Pelodiscus sinensis: one gene and its partners. The protein of the gene in region 3 purifies or fractionates together with the protein of the main gene of each other region. This does not show direct contact. Links are inferred from orthologs where the notes say so. Each region holds a gene or a part of one and is shown on either strand. Other genes may lie near its edges.

Region 1 (7,686 bases), on a different chromosome or scaffold from region 3:
GCCCCTTCTTGCGCAAGAAAAACCCTCTTGCTCAACGCCGTTCTTCCTGAAAAGTACTAGGTGTAACGGCATGCGCAAGAGGGCTTTTCTTGCGCAAGAAGGGGCAGTGTAGACGCTCCTTGCGCAAGAGCCTCTTCTGAAAAAAATGGTGGCTCATTAGGTATGCAAATGAGGCTCGGCGATATGCCACGCTTAGCCTCATTTGCATATTACTCACGCAAGAAGCCGCGAGTGTAGACATAGCCTTGGAGTCCTGTGATTTAGAGTCACTCTGCTATAGAGGTGCCCTTGCAGGCCTGGACTCTGTTCATTCAAACTCCCGAATACATCTGACACAGGCACGAAGGCCCCTCTTCCTTTGGGAATGCAGAAAATCAACAGGTGCTTGCACGGGTGCACAGCATGTGTCTCAGTTCAGAAAACCATCCCAGCACTTTTCAGCCTGAGAGCTCTTTCACTTCCGTGTGGAACAGGCATAACCGGTCCCCAAGTGCTCATGCAGGAAGAGAGAATAGAAGGTCTTGGAGAAATGCACCATCCGTGCAAGGCCACCCTGTATATGGGCGGTCACGCAGCAAGAAGGCTGCTACTCTGTAGGTCAAACGCAGCCTGCTGGCGTGGCATTTGTGATGCAGGTGTGGACATGGGATGTGACCTCTCTCAGGCCAAATTTGGCCCATTGGACCTATGACTGCATCTGCTGGCGGCAGCAGTCAGGGTGTGGGGACTTCAGAGCTATATACTGGATCACGTTCATTAGACATTATAGAGAGGAAACTCGGATCTACCCAGGCATTGCAACCCTTGGCTACCCTGAAGTCATTCCAGAAAGTAGCAGGGGCAGCCCAAATGTGAGAGGGGCAGGTGGGCTTCAGTCTTTGCTTCCATGAGCATCCTCTTTTCCAGCTGCCAGAGCAGCAGCCGTGGCTCTCACAGGTGGGGCAGTGAACGCTGTTACCCCTTGGCAGCCTGTACTGGAGTGGGGGTGGGGTCGCAGGGTTTGGGCAGCCCCTCAGGTCTGTCTATTACTGAATGAGAGTCTCTGTGTGCCTAGGCGAGGTATCCAGACCAGACATCCTATCAGAGCAATCCCAGGCCCAGCGATGCATGACATGCCTTACTACTGTTTCCCAAACACGGGTTGAGCCCATGTCTCTGGCATTGGAAAGCATCCTGCATCTATGTTCAGAGCCCTCCAGAAAACCTTACCATCCTTTCTATGGACCGTTGTGTTGCAGAGTCACAAAGCTGTTGCCATTTCCAGTTCTCCCTGCCCCAGAAGTACCTTCTCCCACCCCCCTCCTGGTTTCTTTTAGCTCCCCAGACATGTAAGAGGAGTTGGGGAGTGTGAAAACAGCTCTGCTTGCTGGAGTTCGGCAGATGCCTGGCAAGGGGAGATGTAGGTGCTCTGATAGCGTAGTAACGAGCGTCATTCTCGCCTCTACAGCGATGTTGCTACTACACAACCCTCTTTTAAAACATGTCAGGTTGGTGAAACACTCATTCCAAAACGAAGGTTCTGCGCAACCTTCCTATAGTTCTGCCCTTTGTGGCAGGCCTCATGCAACAGGCTCTGGCTGCGTGATGATGTCGTTTTTTCCACGATACCCGTCAAGGCTGTTCCCTACTCTGTCAATCTGATTGCAGAAGGTGAGGGCCCTCAGGTAACTTTAAAATACCCTGCCTCTAAAGGCTTCTGCTTCAAAACCCCAAGGTCACATACCCTGGGCCTGGGCTGCGTATTGCAAAACCTCTTTGAGTAGCCAGGAGAGCACCCTTGGGAATTCCTGTTTGTGGATACCTGCAAGCTCTTTAACCTTCACACTGGAGAGAGCTTGGAAAACTAATTTCTCCTAGTAGTCCAGCTTGCAGTCTTAGGCACATCACAGGCACGCAGAACCTCCTAGGACACAGGGATCAGATCATGGTCTTACAATGGTGATTTTTAATAACAACGAGAACAAAAAAGCAAACACACTTGGTGAAACATTGCCTGGTTGCTGGGTGTTACTTAAAAAAAGGGGATTAAAATACAGAGAAGTGCTTCCCTGAGATTCAGTTTGGAAAATTGCAGTGTAAGGGGGGTTATATGTGCTCAGCACAGAGAAGTCCAACAAACCCGAAAATAAAGAAATCACCTGATTGTGTCTGACTAAACATTCCCTGTTCTACTCACATCTCTGTAGTGTCAAGACTTAACCCTTTCCTAGGCATGGATGTCGCTGAATCCTCCAGCTCTGTTTTCCTGCCTTAACTCCTGTCTCCCAGGCGTTGCACAGGAAGGTTGCTTCTTCCAATTCAAGCGCTCACATTCGCTTTCCTTTGGCTCTTCTGGCTTCCTGCCAATTCACTTCCTGCTTCCCCAGCATTCCTGGAGACTCACTAGGACCCACTGTCTGTGGTTTTAACCCTTACAGGCAAGACAATTAGGGTTAGGTCTGGAGTTAACCCCTGAGAAAAGACATTAGTTAACTGAATGGCTGGAATGCCCAGAAAAGGGTATTGCCCCTCCCCCATGCATTATGTAACTACTACTGAAACCTGAGGGCTACGTCTACACTGGCCCCTTTTCCGGAAGGGGCATGTAAATTTCACTAGTCGTCGTAGGGAAATCCGCGGGGGATTTAAATATCCCCCGCGGCATTTAAATAAAAATGTCCGCCGCTTTTTTCCGGCTTTTAAAAAAGCCGGAAAAGAGCGTCTACACTGGCCCCGATCCTCCGGAAAAAGTGCCCTTTTCCGGAGGGTCTTATTCCTTTGAAGTAGGAATAAGACCCTCTGGAAAAGGGCACTTTTTCCGGAGGATCGGGGCCAGTGTAGACGCTCTTTTCCGGCTTTTTTAAAAGCCGGAAAAAAGCGGCGGACATTTTTATTTAAATGCCGCGGGGGATATTTAAATCCCCCGCGGATTTCCCTACGACGACTAGTGAAATTTACATGCCCCTTCCGGAAAAGGGGCCAGTGTAGACGTAGCCGGGATGTCTGGACCCACAGACAAATCAAAGGGTGGGCTGCACACAAGTGAGAAGCAAACAAGAAACCCCTCACTGCCATGGCCCCCGACTGAGGGAAAAGACTCTCCCTACATTCCCCTCACACACCAGAGCCTAGGGGGGCTCAGCCTAGTAGATTTGGGGGGCTCCAGCCCCTTGGTGGAGAAGCAGAGAAGAAGTGGGGGCATTGGAGCACCATTGCAGACTCCCCAATCCTGTGAGGGTCCGTGAGCCCCAGGGGCTGGATCCAAGCAGCCCCCTGGATCTCAGGTTCCCCACCCCTGCTCTAGAGCTTGAGCTACAAAGCCAGCTGGCTCTCAGCTGTGGCTGCAGCGCTCCCTTGTTCTTGTCTCTCGCTGTCAGTGGTCTAAGTGCCGCTACATGGGACAGTGACTCAGCTCACTGTTCAAACCACCACTGACTAGGGAAGAGTAATGGCCTCATGATCTTTTCCAGCCCAAGCATCACTGACATTACAGGCAAGTAATAACGCCTGGCTCCTATGTAGTATTTCTCACCAGTAGATCTCAAAGCACATCGCAATCTTTAGTTTATTTTTCCTCTCTGCCACATTTTGCTATAATTCTTATTATATAGAAGGGGGACTGAGGCACGGTGCCCAAGTAAAGCACCCAATGTCACATGGGAAGTCTGTGGCAGAGCAGGGAGTTAAACGTGGGTCTCCCAAGACGCAGTGCCCTAACCACTAGGCAGGGCTTGTTTTGCATGTCTCCTCCTTTCTCAGAGGGAATGTTCTCTTCATGTGACAAATGAAATGGGGAAACGATGGCTGCAGAGATCCAGTCTCTGCTCTTTGTGAATGGCTGGGTGACTGGAGCACACAGACTGGGGTTTTCGGGGAACTTTTCTCTATTCCGAGCATTTAAGGGTCTCAGGCCTTCAAGGTACCGCAGAGGCGCAGGGCTCTGAGTCCCAGCTGGGGGAGGGTGAACAGGCACAGCAGGGAGAGGACAGCGAGGGGGGAGCATGTCAAGGGCCGACGGGAGCAGGGCTGCATTATGACTTTCGTGGGCCCTAGGCACGTTTGCACCATAATAATATCCAAGGCTGGACAAATAGGCTGTGTCTACACTGGCCCTTCTTCAGAAGAGGCATGCTAATTTCTAACTTTGGAATAGGGAAATCCGCGGGGGATTTAAATAAACATGGCCGCCGCTTTTTTCCAGCTTGGGGAAAAGCCGGAAAAGAGCGTCCAGACTGGCGCGATCCTCCGGAATAAAGCCCTTTGCCGGAGGATCTCTTATTCCTACTGCAGCTCGGCGAGCCCTGAAATATCGACATTCAACATTATCTGTATCTAACGTGCAGCAGCGACTCTTCCGTTTCCGGCCCCACGGAACCGATTCCGTGGGCCCCAGAAGTTTCTTTTTTTTCTGATGTGAGAAAAAAATTAAAACATTTTCCCCCACCCTGACAGTTCATTTTCCCCTCGATTGTAGGAGCAATGAACACGTGTCCGCGGGCCCCGGTGACGTGCGCAGCCCCCCGCGCGAGGGCGCCAATAGGGCGCTGTCTCTTTAAGAAGGGGGCCTCCGGCCGCCCCGCGCAGGACTACAACTCCCAGCGGCCCCCGGGCGGCTCCCCCGCCCCGCAGTGCGGCCGGGGCCCGGCGGGGGGCGCTGCGGGATGGCCCCTGCGCCGCTCCGTACAAAGCGCTGGGGGAGGGGGCGCCTCTTCCTGTTTGTCTGCGTCCGAGGCGGAGCGGCCATGGCGGCGGCGGGGGCCCCGGGGCCGGGAGCCCGCAGGGGGGCGGCCAACATCCTGGCCCAGCTGCGGCGCGGGCAGCTCAGCGGCCGGGGCCTGACCCGGGGGGCGCAGGTACCGCGGGGCGGGGCGGCCTGTCCCGGGGCGCGCGGCGCTTCCCGCCCCCAGCCCGGGCTGCGGGCTCGGCCCGGCCCCGCCCCCGGGCTCGGCTCCCCCCCGCGCGGCGAAACTCCGCGTGACTCCCCCCCGCCCCCGCCCGGGGGAAGGGCAGGCGCCTGCCTGGCGGGGGGGCGGGGCGCTCGTGTCCCCCCCCGAAAGATCCGCCCGGTCTCTGCTGTTCGGGGCGCGAGGGCTCCGCCAGGCCTTATCTGCGGGGGGGTCAGACGTGCTGAGCGGCAGCACTTGGCCGGGCTCCTGCTCGGCGCCGCCAGCCCCGGCCGCTTGGGCCCTGCAGGCTTTGGCTCCCCCCTGCCTGCCCCCCCGGCACGGCCCGCGGCAGCGCTGGGCACGGGGAGTGCGCGCCCCTTTTGTGACTCCTTCCCCCGCCGCCGCGGTGTTAGCGTGAAACAAGCAGGAGAGGGGCAGCGTCCAAGCGCTGTTCTGAGCTTGCATTTGGATTAGTGGTGGGAATGGAAGGCAGGGATGCTAGTGGTGAACTGGTAAACCTCGGCCTTCACAGGCTTCCCAACTGCATTAACCTGCAGGAGTTCGCTCCACTCAACCAGTTAAACAGGATTTTACATCCCTAAGTAGCTCTCCATTCTGAAGAGAAATGGAACTTGGCATGGAGTTAGGATATAACCCAAAATATTAAGCTTATTTTTGATTCAGTGGCATGCATGACCTAGTGGCTTTAGTGCTGAGTAAGATCTGGTTCCTCACCTGTTGAGTAGCGGGCCAGTCTTTGTGTTCTATTAAAATACTACTGACCATGACTGAAATCTCTGGTTTCTCTGTTAGTTTCAAGGACTATAGGGAATGAAGTCTGTTTCTTGCTTATGCTGTATGTTCTGCAGTCTTGGAAAGCAGTGCATGGGTGCCAGACTACTAGCTGTTGTTAATATAAAGAAAGTAGCATTTATTTTGGAGGAAAATGTGAATCAATGGGACTCGAAACAAGTTCTCTGTCTGTATATTTTATGGCCGTGGTCACCAACCAGTAGATCGCGATCTACCGGTAGATCTCAGGGGCTCTAAGAGTAGTTCTTGAGCCCTCTCTGAACTGCGCACCTGCGCAGTACATTTACATTAGATTTCCTCATGTAATGTAGGTGGGGCTTCAAGGAAGGGGCGGGGCAGTAGATCTTCGCCTGTTCTGAGACTTAAAAAGTGATCTTGGGTGTAAAAAGGTTGGAGACCACTGCTTTATGGCAATGCTCCCTTCCTCTCCCCTAGTAGAAATACCAGCAAAGAAGGTTCACGGGTTTGACAGAGTCTTGGCTAATGAGAAGCGACCTCTACCCTTTACGTTCTTGATGTTGGGTGGGGTTTGGGACAAAAGATTATTTCAGTGGAAACGAAGAGTATTTGTATTTAAGCACTTTCCAACTGTCCAGTATATTGTCCAGTCTGAGTAAAATGACTTTTCAACAGCTTTTACTTTTCTTTATATTTTGTTAACCTATTAATTTAACCTTTCCATGGCCTCTTGAAAATGAGTTTGTTTTCCGCAAATCATTTAACGTGGGTAACTTGTTCAGGGTCTGAGTTGTGCTTTTTTTTGTGTGCTTACTATAGCAGATACTCATGCTATACACATTTAAGTAAATGATCATATGTATAATGCAATGACACCTTCCTGTGCATTCACTTTAGATGTTTGTACACCTTCATTTTATGCATCGTATTAGTTGTATTTTTGTCAGTGCTTTTGTAAAAAGTTTGATTAAATGTGACTACACCTGTGCAGTTTCCCAGAATACTAGGTTAGGATTTCTCTGCTAACTACATCTCTCCTTTTATAAAACTCACTGACTTGGCTGCATTGGAGAAACTTAAAGCTGAAGGCTGAGAGCTCCCAGTACTTAAGTGCCACAAGAACACTTCATTAAATTCCTTGGATTGAGGGAGCAATGGAATTGCTTGACAGGTTATGAACTGTATAATTGGCACAGGATTAGAACTTTACTATGGCATTAAAAATCATTTTAGTGGTGCAAGTGTTAAATGCTATGTATCTTTGTACACTTGCTTGGAGTTGGGAGATATTCAAGCTGGTATCATAATCTCATAACCAGGCATGTATTTCTTTTGTACTGGAGCAAATGCTGCTGCTGTTGTTTTATTTGTAATGCAGAGGCAGCAGCACAGGGTGATGGAGGCTCTCTGGGAGTGAGGCAGGGCACACTGGCTGCCCCTAAGAGTATTTTAGTAATCGTGTAACCATTGCAATTTATGGAGACGTGATTACTAAACATGGTCTCTGCTGTCCCTAATCTAGACCCTGTGAGGCAATCAGTGACCTTACTTGAGTATCTCATGATTTTTCTTGACATGAAGCTGTAGTAAGCAAATGGGTTCCTATATTCAGCACTAGCTCCAGTTTTCAGGCAATTTCAAGATCCAGCCCCAAGAAGGAAACAACATAGTGGCCTAGTCTTAAAAGTGGTAAAGGCATGAATAAATAAATGTTGCAAAGTCTGCATCTGGAAGGTACAGTGGTTCTAGGCTTACCAGGAACAGATGGGGAAAAACTTGTCTGGCTACAGCTGGTATCTGAATATCTAGCCAGATGCCTAAACTGTGGACAGCCCATAGCAAATGGTTGCCATATTCTCAGCAAGAATCTTTCCAGCTCTTCCTGGCTACTTCTCAAATCTGCAGACATTATCTCCATCTTATCTGGATTGAGATTCAGCCAGTTAGCCCTCATCCAGGCAAACACTAATCACCAGTAAGAGACTAGGTCAATCCACTGTTCTGCATTAGGAAGGTCCCATAATAGAGGCATAGAGCAGAGGTGCAGGAA
Region 2 (7,620 bases), on a different chromosome or scaffold from region 3:
TGCTGCTACAGGTTGAACCTCTCTCATCTGGCAACATCTGTGGTCTGGCATGATGTGGTTAGCCAGATGTCCGCTGCACTGATCCGATGGTCAGCTGATCCGGCACAGCACGGCCGTCTAGACCTCGTTTCACTAGGCATACTGGAGTGGTTGACAAAGTCTTCCCTCGTCAACCGCGCCGCGTCTAGACTGCCACACTGTGCCAGATCAGCTGATCGTTGGCGCCGCGCGGCGGCCATTTTTATTTTAATGAAGTGGGGATTATTTAAATCCCCGCTTCATTGACTATGCCAAGTAAACTATTTTACATGGCTTCGTCGAGGGAGCCATTTAGTCTAGACGTACCCAGGGTGTTTAAGCACTGAAATAAATTGCCTAGGGAGGCTGTGGAATTTCCATCACTGGAGACTTTTAAGAGCAGGTTAGACTGTACTTAAAAAAAATTCACCAGACCACTGAGAGCCAAGGGACACATTAGTTCTCTACTACCTACCATTGAGGAAATAGAGCTATTAAAAAGTCCTATTAAAAATCACAACTCTCTCTCTCTTCTATTCTATCTATCTATCTATCTATCTATCTATCTATCTATCTATCTATCTATCTATCTATCTATACATTAGAGATTTGTGAGTCTGTCTGTGAATCTGTCTGTCTGTGTGTCTGCAAGTTCATTTATTCAAGAACTCCTCCTAAACGGTAAGTCCTATGACCACCAAATTTGGTATGCATACAGCTTCCTCTTATCCTAACTTAAAGCAAGGTCAGGGTTTGGCTGTGCCGAGCAAATGGGAAGTGCCGCGAATAGGACTGTTTTCCATAATACGGAAAGGGGGGCGGGCAGAGAGGAGGGATGCGATACTGAGAGTGACCACTGGGGGCAGCGAGCATGCAGGGGAGAGCTATACTGTAGAGTGGCCAATAGGACTAGGGCTCCACCATCTTGCCTGCCACCAGACTGGATAAGTAGCCCCTCCCCCAGCCTCCAATGCTGGGAGGTGGGGTGGGGAAGGCCCGTACTGGCTGGGAGAGCTGGGGGGAGACAAAAGGCTGCTGCCGGCCAGGGGGTTGGGGGAAGGTAGAAAGCCCTTGGTGGTGGGGATGGGGCTAGGAGGAGAGAAAAGGACCCTGTGGCCAGGGAGGCTGGGGCAGGGGGTGGGGGAGGAAGGAGACAGAAAGCCCCTGGCCAGTCCTCAGTGTCAAACAGCTAGCCAACACTTCCTTGTATTTAGAAAAAGTGCCAGTCTCACTTGCACTGAAGGACTGATGAAGGGCATATTGTTCCCAGTTACTTCTATGGTTGGGCTAGCCATCTTCATTACAGCTCTGGCAGAACAGTGTAGGTAAATGGAGACTGTGTCATAAAAGTCACAAATACAATTTATGCCGAGGAGAAGTGATGGGTGCAAAAGTGCAGAAACATATATTTCTATTAAGGTTCATTCAGCTGCAAACGCTTCCTTCCTTCCTTTCATTATTAAGATGCCCCAGTAATATTTGACTATGATAGAGAGTCTCCCTTTTTGTTTTGGGAATGTATTCTTAGTACATCATCTTCTGATCAGGACAATCAACACACAAGTAACCTTGCCACTATCATACGGTGGGACTGGAATACAGAATATTGTGAATGTGGAAGACAGGAGACTCTACAGGACAAATCTGCAAGAGGCAGAAATCCAAGCGTGTTTCTGGAAAGGTGTTCTCTCAACTGCGTGTACGTTTACTGCAGTTGTAAACAGCAGTGTTTCTCAACCAGTGGTCTGAGTACCCTTAGGGTAGAAATGTACCACTTAGGGGTACTTGAGAGAAGTCTGGGGAGGGGGGTTAGGGTTAGTCTGGGGAGGGGGGGGGGGGTACATCAACACAACTGAAATTTGGAGAAAACTGAATTTTTGTTGTAAGTTTTACAGCGCTTTATTATTTTTGTACTTTTTACACCCAAAAATTTCATCACCCACCCAGCTATGATTAAGTTGTTTAAACAAATGTGTTGCAATGGTAGAAAAAAAATGTGTTTGTCTGAAAACTGTAGGTACTGGGGGTACTTATAACTTTATAAAAAAATGTTGAGAAACACTGGTGTATACAATGCAAATGATCACACGTGCCAGCATGGAGTTTGGAGGGTAATTTTTGTGTATACAATCACCATAAATGCATGTGGAGCACTCTGGCCTAATGAGTTTGATTACAGCGCAGTCTGGAGGCTGTTCCCACAACCATATAATCCATTACTACTTCACTGTTAGAACAGCAGATAGAGAGATAAGATGGATGAGGTAATGCCTGTTATTAGACCAACTTCTGTCTGTGACAGAGACAAGCTTTGAGGTCTGGGCTCTGTGTGGCTCGAAAGTTTGTCTCTCACACCAATGGAAGGTGGTTGGATAAAAGTTATTACCTCATTTATCTTGCCTCATATCCTGTGACAAACTGAAAGTACAGCACGTAGGTAAAAAAAATCTTAAACTCAAATGGCAGACTTGCTTTTTTGATGCTGACAGTGCTGGGTTCAGTCTTTACGCACAACCATGGTATTTATATGCATGTGTTGCAAAGGCATGTACAGAAATGTGTGGACTTCCACACGTGCATTGGCTTGGATCAGTTTATTTCACTGCAATAACATTCTTCAAAGATATTATTTTGTTTTTAATCTCTGTAACTTTTTGGAATCAGTGGAAATATCTGAGAGCAGGATAGGCTATAGGCATTCCACTAGTTGCTATCAGTCTGTCTTGATCTTCAGTTTTGCAGCAACAGGAGTAGATATGAAAAGATTCAACCTATAACAGCTTATTTTCACATGAAGATGGCTGCAAAAGGAAACTAAGTGAAACAGATTAATTCTAGTCAGTTTCTCCTTGTAGCTAGCACCAGGTGAAGTACTAGATGTACTGAGAAACTGAATAATCCTGGTTAGTTTCTCTTCACAAGAGAGAAATATAGTCAAGTCATATTTTCACTAATATGGTGTGCTTCAGTTTTGGGTGTCCAATCTCAGACACCTCATGCTGGATTTCAACAAGTGTGTTGAGATGAACAAGATCTGGGTGGGGGTACTAGTGGGAGGGTAAACCTGACAATGTGGGAGAAGGGCAGGAGGAGGACTGAAAAAAGATACATTGGAATGTGGGATACAGGAAAGAAAATGGTGATTAATGGGATTGTAGACTATAAAAAGACTAAAAGGGCAAGGAATCAGGGTCAGAGATGGAGAAGTGGGGGAATATGTGGGGCAAAACCTGTGGGAAAGAATGTAGGGAGAAGAGACTAGGATAGACATAGCAGCAGAGGAGATAGGGAATAACTGATAGGCGGGTAACGGACGTAGTGCAGTGCTAAGGGAAGAGGAACAGGTTACAGAAATGTACCACTGCAGAGCTCTAAGGGTATGTCTACACTACCACCCTAGTTCGAACTAGGGTGGTAATTTAGGCAACTGGAGTTGCAAATGAAGCTCGGGATTTGAATTTCCCGGGCTTCATTTGCATAAAGCCGGGCGCCGCCATTTTTAAATGTCCGCTAGTGCGGACTCCATGCCGTGCGGCTACACATGGCACGGACTAGGTAGTTCGGACTAGGCTTCCTAGTCCGAACTACTGTTACTCCGTGAGTGCCTGGCATCTCCGAAAATCAGGCTGCAAGTGATTTGCTCAGAGTTGCAAAGCAAGGTGGGTACAGATTGTAGGAGTCCTCGAGTTGCCATCTGTCCCATCCACGTGTGGATAAGGCTGTAAGAAAACAGTGAGCCACGATTGTTGAGGAGACCACGTTAACACGGGTCCCGTAGTTGCCACAAATCTGAGTGGTGTTGTGATCCCTTGTGCCACGTCATAGTGTGGCTCACTCAACTTTGACCCGGCTGCTCTCCATCAGCCCAGTCACCACGCCGTCACAATGGGCGGTTGGGCCAAATCTAAGCGAGTGGTGTTGCACAGTCACCCCTCCCCTCCAATCCGGCCCTGCTGCTCCGCCATCCGGACTCGGCGGGGCCGGTGGCGGATGGGGTGGATGGAGGTGGGGTGCTGAGCAGCTTGGGGCCAGACTCCCTGTGCGGCTCGCCGGACTCGCTGTCCCAGCTTGGTGCCCGCCCTGGGCCGTGTGGGGCAGCTCCCCCTTGGCCAAGGGCAGGGACCTGCCTGCACCTTGGCCGTCCCAGCAGCAGGCCAGGCATGGGGCGGCCCCACAAGTGTGTGTGGGGGGGGCTAGACCTTGTGCCTGGCCTGGAACAGGCAGGCCCTCACCCAGCCCATGGGAGCCAGGCCCGGATGTGGGGGAGGGGAAAGAACGCAGCGCCAGCTGGGGAGTAAAGGGCTCTCACGCGTCCTCGTTCTGCGAGCCGCGCATGCGCCGCCCTTCTCGCTCTCTGTCCACACCCCCTCCCTCTGGCGAAACCCCATTCTTCCCCGCCGACCGCGCGCGTGCGCAGTGGCTGCTGAGCGCGCCTCGCCCCGCGTCTAGGCCCGCTGTCTCCCGCAGAGGAGGGGGGGGGGGCTGTCAATAAAGATTGAACAAGGCCGCAGAGGCGCGCGCCGGCCCGACTGCGCACGCGCGGCCCCCACCCCGCCGGGTGGGCGGCGCCGATTTTCAACAAAACTTTATTGTGCCCCGTGGCGGCGGCGGCGGCGGCGCCGCGCAGGATGCGCTGAGGCTCCCCCCCCGCCCGGCCTCGGCATGTCAGGCAGCCGGCAGCAGCCGTCGCCGCAGCACCCCCCGGCCGGGCAGGGCGCCGCGGCCTCCGCCGCCACGTCGCCCTCCTCCTCCTCCTCCTCCGCGCCGGCGGCGGCGCCGGGCTCCTGCTCCTCGTCCGCGGGGCTGGGGGGCCCCGCGCGGCCTGTGCTGGTGGCGGCCGCCGTGTCGGGCAGCGGGGCGGCGGCCTCCGTCCTCTCGCGCCTGGCGGGGGCGGCCCGGCCCGGCGGCGGCGGCGCGGCGGCGGGCGGCGGCAGCCGGAAGAGGCCGCTGCTGACCCCGCTCTGCAACGGGCTCCTCAACTCCTACGAGGACAAGAGCAACGACTTCGTGTGGTGAGCGCGGGGGGGGGGGCGCGGCCCCTCCCCCTGCACAGCCCGCGGGGGGGGGGCCCCTCCCCCTGCACAGCCCGCGGGGGGGGGGGTCCTGCAGGTTCCCCCCGCCGAGCCCGCTCTCTCCGCCCGGGGGGGGGGGGGGAGCGATGCGACATCCCGTGTCCTGGGCGAACGCGTGACGAGATGGCAAAGAGGCGAGCGGGGGAGGCGCTGCGGTCCTGTTGGATTGCGGCCCCCCCCCCCCCCCCGCCAGGCCGCCCTTCCCCTCTGTGGGCAGGGGCTGCTCCTGGCGCCTGCCCCCCTCCCTCTGCCACAGGCTGCACCCGCTGGGATACATTGGCTGTGCTGCAGCAGCGCCTGTCCCTGTGGGGCTGGAGAAGCCCCCCGTCTGCGGCAGCTCTAGCCCCCCGGGTTAGCCCTAACCAGTCAGCGTCACCCGTTAAGGCTCAACCCGTGACACCGACCTGTGTTTCCCTGAGGCTTGGGCCCTGGCAGGCTGAGGCCAGGAGGAAGTTTCAGAGATACAGGCCTTCCACTGGGGGTGAGCCTAGACTCGAGGTCTGGTCTAGGAGGTGGCCCGAGAGTCACCCGGCTACCGTAGTTCTGGGTAGGGCCCTACCAAATTCAGGGGTCGTTTGGTTTCATTTCATGGTCATAGGGTTTCAAACGTTATTGACTTGATAATGTCAGCAATTCAATCTGAAATTTTAGGCTGTTATAATTGCAGGCATCCAGACCCAAAAAAGTTTTTTTTTTGGGGGGGGGTTGTCACAAGGTTATTGTAAAGGAAGGGGTTTATGATACTGCTACCCTTACTTCTGCACTGCTGCTGATGGCAGCACTGCTTAAAGATGGGGTGGGATGATATTGTCCCCCCCTATTTTTGTGCTGGGGGGGAGGCAAGGGGGAGCTGCACTGCTTTCAGAACTGGGTGCCCAGCCAACAGCCATGGGTCTCTGGCCACCCAGCTCTGAAGGTGGCAGAAAAGTAAGGGAGGCAATACCATGACCCCTTACTTCCACAAATAATCTTACAATCCCCTGCAACCTCCTTTTGGGTCAGGACCTCCAATTTGAAAAACACTGGTCTCTTCTCATAACCCCCCGTATGAAATCTGTATTGTATATAGGGTAAAAACACACAAGATTAGATTTCCTAGTTGCTCCATGTGTGGCGGGGGAGAGGGGGAGAAAAGATTTAATTGTCACTGACATATTTTCCATGGCTGTGAAGTTGGTATGGCTCTGTAAGGGGGACCAGGGAGGAGCTCACCTACTGTGTGTGTGGGGGCGGGTTAGGGGGGTGGCGAAAAGCAGTGGGTTAGTGTGTGCACTCTGCTTACGTTGAGTACTTTATAAGAATAATTGTATTTTTTTAAAATGGTTAATGGCTGTGTTTAACCTTATTTTGACTTTAAACATGAGTATCCTCATAGGTGTTTGTGTTGTACATTGAGTGAGTTAATATTTTCTAATTTAGTGTATTTTTCTGTCGAGAAAGTCCTAAAATATTGGGTCTTAGTTTATAGATTATTTACAGGTGCACTAGAGTCTTCTCGTTAACCAATTGGTGTCCAGTATAAAGCACAGAGATTGTGCTGGTTGTATGTGGTAGTTGTATTTAAATCCACTTAAGACCAGCATTTTGCCTACCTAAAGTTTCAAGGTACAGTAAAACTCCATTGGTCTGGCACCCAATGCTCTGGCACTCCTGATGGTCTGGCACCATCAGGAACCCGGAAGTGCTCTGGCTGCCGGACAATTGGAGCTGCTCTGCGCCCGGCTTCCCTGATTCAGCCGCTGCTGAAACTGACCAGCAGCTGAATTGGTGAAGCCGGGGGCAGAGCAGCTGGGGTTCTGCCAGGTTGGTCCCGTAGCGCTGCCCCTCGGAGCTGCGGGACCAACCTGGCAGCACCCCAGCTGCTCTTCCCCAGGCATCCCCAAGTCAGCCGCTGCTGAAACTGACCAGCGGCTGACTCCAGGAAGCCCTGGGCACAGCTGCTCTGCCCCGGGCTTCCTGGAATCAGCCGCTGGTCAGTTTCAGCAGCGGCTGACTTGGGGATGCCTGGGGCAGAGCAGCTGGGGTGCTGCCGGGTTGGTCCTGTAGCGCCGCCCCTTGGACCAACCAGGTAGCGCCCCAGCTGCTCTGTTCCAGGTGTCCAGGATTCAGCTGCTGCTGAAACTGACCAGCAGCGGCTGAATCGGGGACGCCTGGGGCAGAGCCAGACTATCGGAAGGGGGGGCTATGAGGGGTCTGGGGTGGCATCCCTCCCACCCTACCCCAGACCCCTCATAGCCCCCCCTTCCGATAGTCTGGCATATCTGATAATCCGACACCCCCCCCCGGGTCCTAAAGGTGCCGGATTATCGGAAGTTTACGGTAATTAAGTACAACATGTTGCAATAGTGAGTTGTAAGGTTATAAGCCCAGAAGTCACTGGGTGAGATCCACATGGGGGAAAAAAAGATTTGCAGCAGACTTTAGATGAAAAAAACTACATGGCATATTTGCTATCTAAGTAAGCATCCTGAAAGAGCAATAGAGTCCTTCTCACTACAAAGTATAAAACATTGGCAAAGTCTATTTATAT
Region 3 (7,876 bases):
TTATGCTAAAAAAAGATAACACTAACGTTTCTTGACAGAAAGCATGGTTTACAGAGATCTGGAAGAAATTTTACCGAGTTTTGCTGGAAATCTTTTTTTGTCTGAATACTAGAAATAAAGAGCTCAGACTTAAAACCTTGCATTTTTTCCATATGCAAGATATTTTGGAAATTGCTTTTGAGCCGATGTGTAATAGAATAAGTGTGCAATTATGTGGTTACTAATAGTGTAATAAGAAAGGTAAAATATAAGTGTTGCTTTTATTACTTTTTAGTCTAGTTAGTTTAGCTAGTCTTTATCAGTTTGCTCTTCCCTGTCTGCTTCTTCATGTCTCCGAAGCTATTTGAGAATTTTAAATGCTGTATACTTAGAACTAGGGATGTAAAATGCTATTTCATTGGTTAACTGATTAAACAAATTGTTTAACTGGTTAACTGAGTAAAGGGAGGGGGCGTGCCCCAGCCCAGTTGGGGTGGAGCAGTCTTGCTACCCCAGTGCTGCTTCTCCTCTAGGGATGTAAGAGAGCAGTCAAATTCTTGACTACCCGATAAGCCTAGGCTGACTACTTGCATTCCCTCCTGCCCCTTGCAGCCTCTGTATGAGGGGCATCAAGGGGGGGAAGCAGGAACCATTGCTGGGAGGAGCTGATTTAAAAGCCCGTTCCCCCAGCACCGTCTCTCTGGTGAAGCCTTCCCCTCCCCTGTGCGGCTGCCTCTATCAGGTACAGCAGTGTGTGTGTAGTGGGGGGAAGGAGAGGTTGGCCGCAGTGGGCTCAGGCTCGCAGTGAGCAGAGGCTGCTCCAGCAGCAGTCCCTGTCTGCGAGGGGTAGAGGGTTGGGGGTGGCTGCTGGACCTGATGTGAAGACTGAGCAAGCTTGGCTCAGTCCCAGTTTGTAGTGGGTTTGGGACCTATCCTTGCTGCAGCTCTGCATTTTAAGTGTACAGATTGAGCCTCTCTAGTTCGGCACCCTTGGGACTTGACCAGTTCTGAACGAGAGGATTTTCTGGACTACAGGAAGTCAGTATTGTCTAGCAGCATTACCAACACTTCCACTGAGAGCTAGGACTGGTGGCTGTAAACAAACTTTATTGGACTGTGGGAAACTTGGCCACATCCATGAAAGGTGGACATCCAGCTAACTAAAATCATTCTGGACAACAGATGTTTCTGGATGAGAGAGTACTGGATTAGAGAGGTTCAACCTGTAGTAAAATGTGCACCTGGCTCTGACTATATTTAAAATGCAGAGCCATAGCTGTGGTAGGTCCTGGACCCGGCTCAAGTTGGGACTGAGCTGGGCTGCCTGCGCACCCAGCTCTTACTACATTTAAACTGCAAAGCTGCATTGGAAGTAGCTCTTACATCTGGCATGATCTGGGACTTAGCACCTTCCCCTATAGACTAATTGTGTAGTCAATACAATTACCTGCCTCTTAACATCCTGACTGTCCTCTCCTCCCCTGCTGCAGACAGTGGCTGCTCTGGACAGGCTGGAGTAGCCCCTGCCTGCAGGTGCCTGGGCCCACTGTGGATGGGGCTGCCATGGCAAGTGGGGAGCTGCTCTAGGCCACACTGTTTAACTAGTTAACCTTTCACATCCCTATTTAGAACCTGCTAGGTGATTTCATTTGGAGTTGAGAGTGCAAAGTAGCTTGCATGAGGTACTCAGTGTAGAAATGCCACTGCTAATTAAGGTGTTATGCAAGCTAAGAAACAGGGAGTGCCCTGGCTTCCGTGTAAATCTTGGTGAGATTAATAATGATGAACAGTTGCATTACAAAACTTCATTATAAATGCTTTGGAATTTATTCAGTCTATATGCAAACATTCCAATCATGCAAAAATTAAAGTAGCCTTGAAGTCTTGGTTTGCAGATGTGCCTCCAAAGACACTCATATGCAGAAAAGAACCTGGGAGAACTGAAAAACAGAGGTGGTGGATATCCTGTTTTGGAACCCAGTGAGACAGAAAGAGTTCATCTTATCAGAAGACGGGAGATACTAGTTTCCTGGTGGAAGCCTTTTGTGTGATCCCTGTGGCCAAATTATGCTCTCAGTTTTACTGGTTATATATTTAGGTACACTGAAATCATTCCAGGTTTATGGCTGTGTTATTGGGGGCAACATTTGGCCTGTTCTTCATGCTATTTGCATATTGTGTGAATACAGTAATTTCTTAACTGTAGCCCTCTAAAAAAGGGTAACCATGTCTAGCAAGGCTATGCTTACTAAGATGTAGCTGTATTACAGAAAATAAATGTCTTCCACAAAGCTCAAAGAAAATCCTCTTGGAATAGTTAGTGTCAAATTTCCCCCTTGTTTATACTCCAGTGAGAGAATAACAAGACTATTTGTATTGAATGAGGTCCCTAATTATTTTTTTCAAATGAGACTACAAATAATTGCTTTTTAAATTACTTATTTATATACTTGAGTATTTATATAATGTTGGAATTCCTTAATCTCTCTGAATTTCATATATTTATCATTTCTCCATGAGTATGTTTATTTTACCATTTGAATAAATGTTGCTTTTTATGCAGGTATCATTTTATACTGTGTATCATAGTTATAATTTTATTAAACATTAGGCCCTAGTAAATTGTACAGTATCAAGGTTGTTCAGTTCACTTTGCCTAGAAAAATAACCTAGCAGTTTGCATACTCAATGGGTTTGATCCTGTTTTCACTGAAGTCTATTAGAAATCTACCATTGGCTTCTATAGGAGCAGGATTGGAGCTCATCTGTATGTTTTCCTTTTTCTATCAGCTGTATAAAGAACAAAAGCATTTATGTCTAGTCTGACCCAATAAAATATTGATGGATACTTAAATTAATCTATTGTAACTTATTTAATCTATGATCTTTGTGCTAATTACCATGGTGGTGACTGTACATCCAGTTATCAGAACCATCACCAGATACGCTATAATTTGGTCCTAATCAAATATATAAAACATAACTGTCTTCACCAGAACCCATTCCCCCTTCCAGCAGCTGGGATCTTCATAGGAGGCCACTGTTGTTCCACTCCACCTCGACCTTCAGAAATGGCTCTTTAACTTTCCTTACCTTTGGTGCCAGGATCTCCTCCAGTGACACACTCCCTAACCAGTGTCAGTGTTCAGTCTTCAAGAAACGGATCTTTTTCCACCCTGCAATACATGGGGCCTTATTTGGAATTCAGAGGGGAGAGAAGGATAGCTTTTGTTCTGTTAATTTTTAAGACTATTTTGTAGTTTCAAAATACTCTGTGTTGAATAATGTTAATAATTACTTCTCCTTTCTTTTTGATGGACTATTTTTTGAGTGTGGGGAATAACACCCAGGAAAGTAGTGTTAAGGCTGCAAGTAACAAACAAGCAATGCTTCTGAAAGCATAATGAAGGCTTTGTTGTGCAATAGCTAGTAAAATTTTTATAGTGGTACATAAGACAACATTTCAATTCATGTATCAGGATGTAGTCAGATGTTAGTAATTAACAAGGAAAAATAATGTGGAACCATTACAGTGCAGTAGGTTTGTGATCAATTTAGGATGTATTTATCTGCTAATTTTACAAAATTACATAAAAATGTAAAATAGAAGCCTTCCTTTTTGAGAACTTAAGGTCTCTGTCCAATGTATCTTACTGTGAAATCTCAACCCTAGCATCAGAGAAATATAAGAATTGTCATACCTGATCAGACCGGTATTCCTACCCATCCGGTATCCAGTTTCTGATAGCTGTCATTGCCAGATGCTTCACAGGAAAGTGTAAAGAAAGATTGAAGAGTTATGGAATAACCTGCTCACAGGGAAAGACTTTTCCTAATACCTCTCATGCAGAAGTTGGCTTATGTTCTGAAGCATGATGATTTATATTGTAAATCATATAATGGATATCAATAGAGGGCCTATTGCTAAAATTGGTTTGATAATTACTGATTTGGGTTTGAGCATGGGTTCATTAGCATCTAGAGCAGAGATTTCCCACCAGGGAAGTGCTGTTCTCCATTCTGTATGCAAATAAAGATGTCTGTCTGTCCTCTCCTGTCTTCCATGCTGTTGTATAGGGGTGTTTACTTAATCCTATCACCCTTGTCTAGAGGGTTTAGGTGTGTCTTCCTCTGTCTTTGTCTTTGGTTCAAGCAGAGGGCTGGAGTGAGGTGGGTGTCCTCCATGAGCACCACACCCTGGTTCCCCAAGAACACAGAGCTTGTAGGTAACAGAAGTCTACTGTCAGGACAGCACTTATGCAAGTGTGCAGGGCAATAAATCATATTTTGCTGTGTAGGACTGGGAGTCTGAGAAATGTGGATGACATAAATAGTGGTTGACTTTGCTGAAATGGTCTTTCTAAACTGGCGGGGCAATTGGCACATGTATTCCCATTATAGCGCCACCCCGCCTGCCACAGACTACATCAATCGGAAGGGTACTTCTTCATGAAGCTTCAGGCACCTGTGGATCACTGTAGGCATTTCACAGATATAAATATGGGGTGGTTGGAGAAGTGCACGATGCATGCGTTTTCAGGAACAGTGGCTGTACAGAAAGCCTCAGGCTGACTTTCTTTCCATAACAGAAAATTAGTGGAGGAAGTGGAAATGATCCTAGGTAACCCCAACTTACCCCTTACAGACCTGGCTCATAAAGCCTTACAAGGGGCACTTCAACAGTAGTAAGAAGCGGTTCAGCAACAGGCTAAGCTGATGCCACATTGCTGAATGTGCCTGTGGGAGACTGAAAGGGAAATGGAGGTGTCTCAGTGGACTTTTTGGAGGATCATATCCCCAAGATGGTGGCTGCATGCTGTTGCTCATATAATTTGTATGAGAGTTAGGGTGAAGTGTTTGCCTGTGGGTGGAACAGTGAGAGACAGCACCCAGATGCACAGTTTGAACAGCCAGACAATCATGCTGTCGGAGGAGCCCGTAAGATGGCTTATCAATATCAGGGAGGCTTTGAGGAACTACTTTGACAATAAGGGGCGCTGACATTTCTGTGTGTTGGGGTTGTATCCCTGCTTCATTCCACTGCTTATCCTGAAGAAGGCATTCCCATGAAACCCAGGGATTTTACAGGCTTCAGCCGGGGCCAGAGCAATTTCATAGAGGGATAAGGGATCTTTCGTAAAAGGCTTTATTTTCCGCAAGATCAGTGTCTAGACTGGCGCTTTTTTCTGGCAAAGCTCTGTGCCGAAAAAAAAGCGGCAGCCATTTTTATGCTAATGAAGCAGGGGAGATTTAAATTCCTGCTTCATTAGCAATTGCAATACGTCTAATTTACATCTCTTTTACGAAAAAGGGATGTAGTCTAGACGTAGCCAACCCGTCATGCTGTCAACTTCGACCTGGTCCTGAACCTAGGTTGGTATGCACTTTATTTGTGGGGAAGCGGTTGGTACCAAGATGTTTCTTAGCCAGGCATTCTGTTACAACTTCTCTGGAATGTGTTTGCAGCCTGTGCCTGGTACCTTTTGGCATTCTTTATGCTTGACCTGGCTTATATTATTTTTCTTTAGCCAAGCCTCTTTCCTGCCTCCGGTTTCACTGAGCCAAAGTCTTGTTCACTAGATTTCAGGCCTGCTGTTTTTATGTTACAGGCCTTTAACTTACTACAGGCCTAAGTGACTTGGCTATGATTGTCTATTAAGTCATCAAGAGAGCCAGGAACTTAACTGAAATTTCCTTCATGCCTACTTGGTACCAACTACAAGGCCACCCTCCCAAGTCTCCTCTTGTACGTGTGTTGATGGAGCCCTTTTTGCAGGAAAAGTTGGCCTTCTCCAATAACTTTTTTTCTCAAACCAATCTGCATGATATCTGACTCTGGTCTATTTTAGTGTGTGTGTTTTAAATTTTCCCAGTTTGAAGTGAATCAGATTGTTTTACAGATTTCTCACTTGAAAATAATTCAGACTTGTTATTTTGGAATTTCTCAAGAACTGCTTCTCTGAGAAACCACACCAAGGGTTAGTCTTCAATGAAAGTGAGTTCCTTTTGAATCTCCCCCCCCCCCCCCGCCCCCTGCCCCATAGTAGTCAGAAAACTCTTAGTTGCAATTCATTCAGCTTCATCCTCATGAAGCTATGGGAGAGAGAAGGCATAATTTGCTGTCATGTGCAGCAGGTAGTAGAATGTTCCCTAAGGAAACATGGATTTCAGTACAAGCATGGAGGACTTGGGTATTTGTCTTATGGTATAGATATTGACACTACCAACCTGTTTGCCACATAGTAGGATTTAGAGCAGGGATGGGCAAATTCCAGCCTGCAGGTTTAGTTCCTGGTGGGCCCCAACCTCCATATTTACCTGTGCTTCGACAGGTATCCACGGATTACTGTCCACAGACAATGAGAGCACCAGGAAGCACTGTCCCAGTCTGCCTCTCCCCCAGCCGCCTTTCAGTTGACTGAAATAGGCAATCTGTGGCCCACCCCTGATTTTGGTGCCATGGCCTCATTTCCCCTCCACTGTACCCTCCCCCCCAAATTTGTCCTTTCTCTCCTTTGCCATCTGAGGGTACGTCCAGACTACATGCCTCCGTCGACGGAGGCATGTAGATTAGCCAGATCAGCAGAGGGAAATGAAGCCGCGATTAAAATAATCGCGGCTTCATTTAAATTTAAATGGCTGCCCCGCTCTGCCGATCAGCTGTTTGTCGGCAGATCGGGGCAGTCTGGACGTTCCCGTCGCCAGAAAACCCTTTTGTCGACCGCCCCGTTATGCCTCATCCCACGAGGCATAACGGGGCGGTCGACAAAAGGGTTTTCTGGCGACAGGGGAACGTCCAGACTGCCCCGATCTGCCGACAAACAGCTGATCGGCAGAGCGGGGCAGCCATTTAAATTTAAATGAAGCCGCGATTATTTTAATCGCGGCTTCATTTCCCTCTGCCGATCTGGCTAATCTACATGCTTCCGTCGATGGAGGCATGTAGTCTGGACGTACCCTAAGTTAGAAGATAGCATTGGGGCATGTTGACTTCTTAAACGTGCTTTTCAGTCTCTAAGTGGCAGAGCCTGAGTCCACGCACTTCAGGAAGTAACTCCTTCGCAGCGGGGAGGAATAGCTGACTGGTGTGAGCATGGGCCTGCTAAAACCACAGTTGCGAGCACAAACCTTAAGGGGGCTATTTAGGGAATCGGGGGCAAACTCTGCCAGGGATGGTTCTCGGTCCTGCAGTGAGGGCAGGGGACTGGTCCCTTCCAGCGCTATGAGACGGCTAGGTATAGCTCCATAGACCAGCACTGTAACCAGGGTTCCCCACAGCCAGCCCGAGGAAAGGTGCGGGCTTGCCAGACAGAGGGAGCGGGGCTTGCAGGGGTTGCGACGCGCACGCGCGTGTCGCGAGGGGCTGTGTCCCGCCTCGGCGCGCGGAGAGCCAGGGGGACGCTCGGGCTCTGTGCCCGGCTGAGCGAAGGCGGGACGGGCCCCGCGCGGGAATCGGAGATTTGCGTCACGGGGCGGCAGACCTGCCGGCGAGGGGGTGCCGCGCGTTGGCCGCCGGGAGTTGTAGTGCGCGCCCCAACCCCCCTCCGGCCGCTCGTCACGCGCCTTTTTTTTTTTTTTTTTTTTTTTTTTTTTGCGATGGTGCCGTGCGACAATGCCGTAAAGTAGGCCAGCTTCCGGCTGAGGCGGACGGAAGGTCCGGAGCCGCGTGTGAAGAACCTAGGGAGCCCGTGGATGCCAGTTCCGCCTCCAGCCCCTCCGTCCGCGCGGCCCCCAGGGACCCGCCCGCCGCCTGCGGCCGGCACCCAGCGCCCCCAAGATGTTCAAAAAGTAGGTGAGGGGGGCGTGTTCCCCGGCGGGCGGGGATGGGCGGGGGGCGCCCCTCGTGGGGCCGGGCCCTGCCCTCCTTGGCGGCGCTGAGCCCTGCGGATTCCGGGGC

The links. The genes of interacting proteins can lie anywhere in the genome.
Region 1: the proteins of CUL4B (region 3) and TRPC4AP purify together in Homo sapiens (affinity purification with mass spectrometry; 4 studies listed by BioGRID and IntAct, counting the BioPlex papers as one, with this or other methods). This does not show direct contact. The link is inferred for Pelodiscus sinensis from reciprocal best matches to the Homo sapiens genes CUL4B and TRPC4AP.
Region 2: the proteins of CUL4B (region 3) and COP1 purify together in Homo sapiens (affinity purification with western blotting; 4 studies listed by BioGRID and IntAct, with this or other methods). This does not show direct contact. The link is inferred for Pelodiscus sinensis from reciprocal best matches to the Homo sapiens genes CUL4B and COP1.

What each region holds. Positions count from the first base shown.
Region 1 is NC_134728.1:33,288,649-33,296,334, reverse strand, and holds the start of TRPC4AP (short transient receptor potential channel 4-associated protein), read left to right. Parts: upstream 1-4,674; 5' UTR 4,675-4,721; coding exon 4,722-4,832; intron 4,833-7,686. UniProt on the Homo sapiens protein: Substrate-recognition component of a DCX (DDB1-CUL4-X-box) E3 ubiquitin-protein ligase complex required for cell cycle control.
Region 2 is NC_134719.1:61,208,516-61,216,135, forward strand, and holds the start of COP1 (E3 ubiquitin-protein ligase COP1), read left to right. Parts: upstream 1-4,608; 5' UTR 4,609-4,680; coding exon 4,681-5,030; intron 5,031-7,620. UniProt on the Homo sapiens protein: E3 ubiquitin-protein ligase that mediates ubiquitination and subsequent proteasomal degradation of target proteins.
Region 3 is NC_134723.1:33,772,550-33,780,425, reverse strand, and holds the start of CUL4B (cullin-4B), read right to left. Parts: upstream 3,016-7,876; 5' UTR 2,899-3,015; coding exon 2,880-2,898; intron 1-2,879. Other genes in the region: MCTS1 (malignant T-cell-amplified sequence 1), read left to right, coding at 7,757-7,767.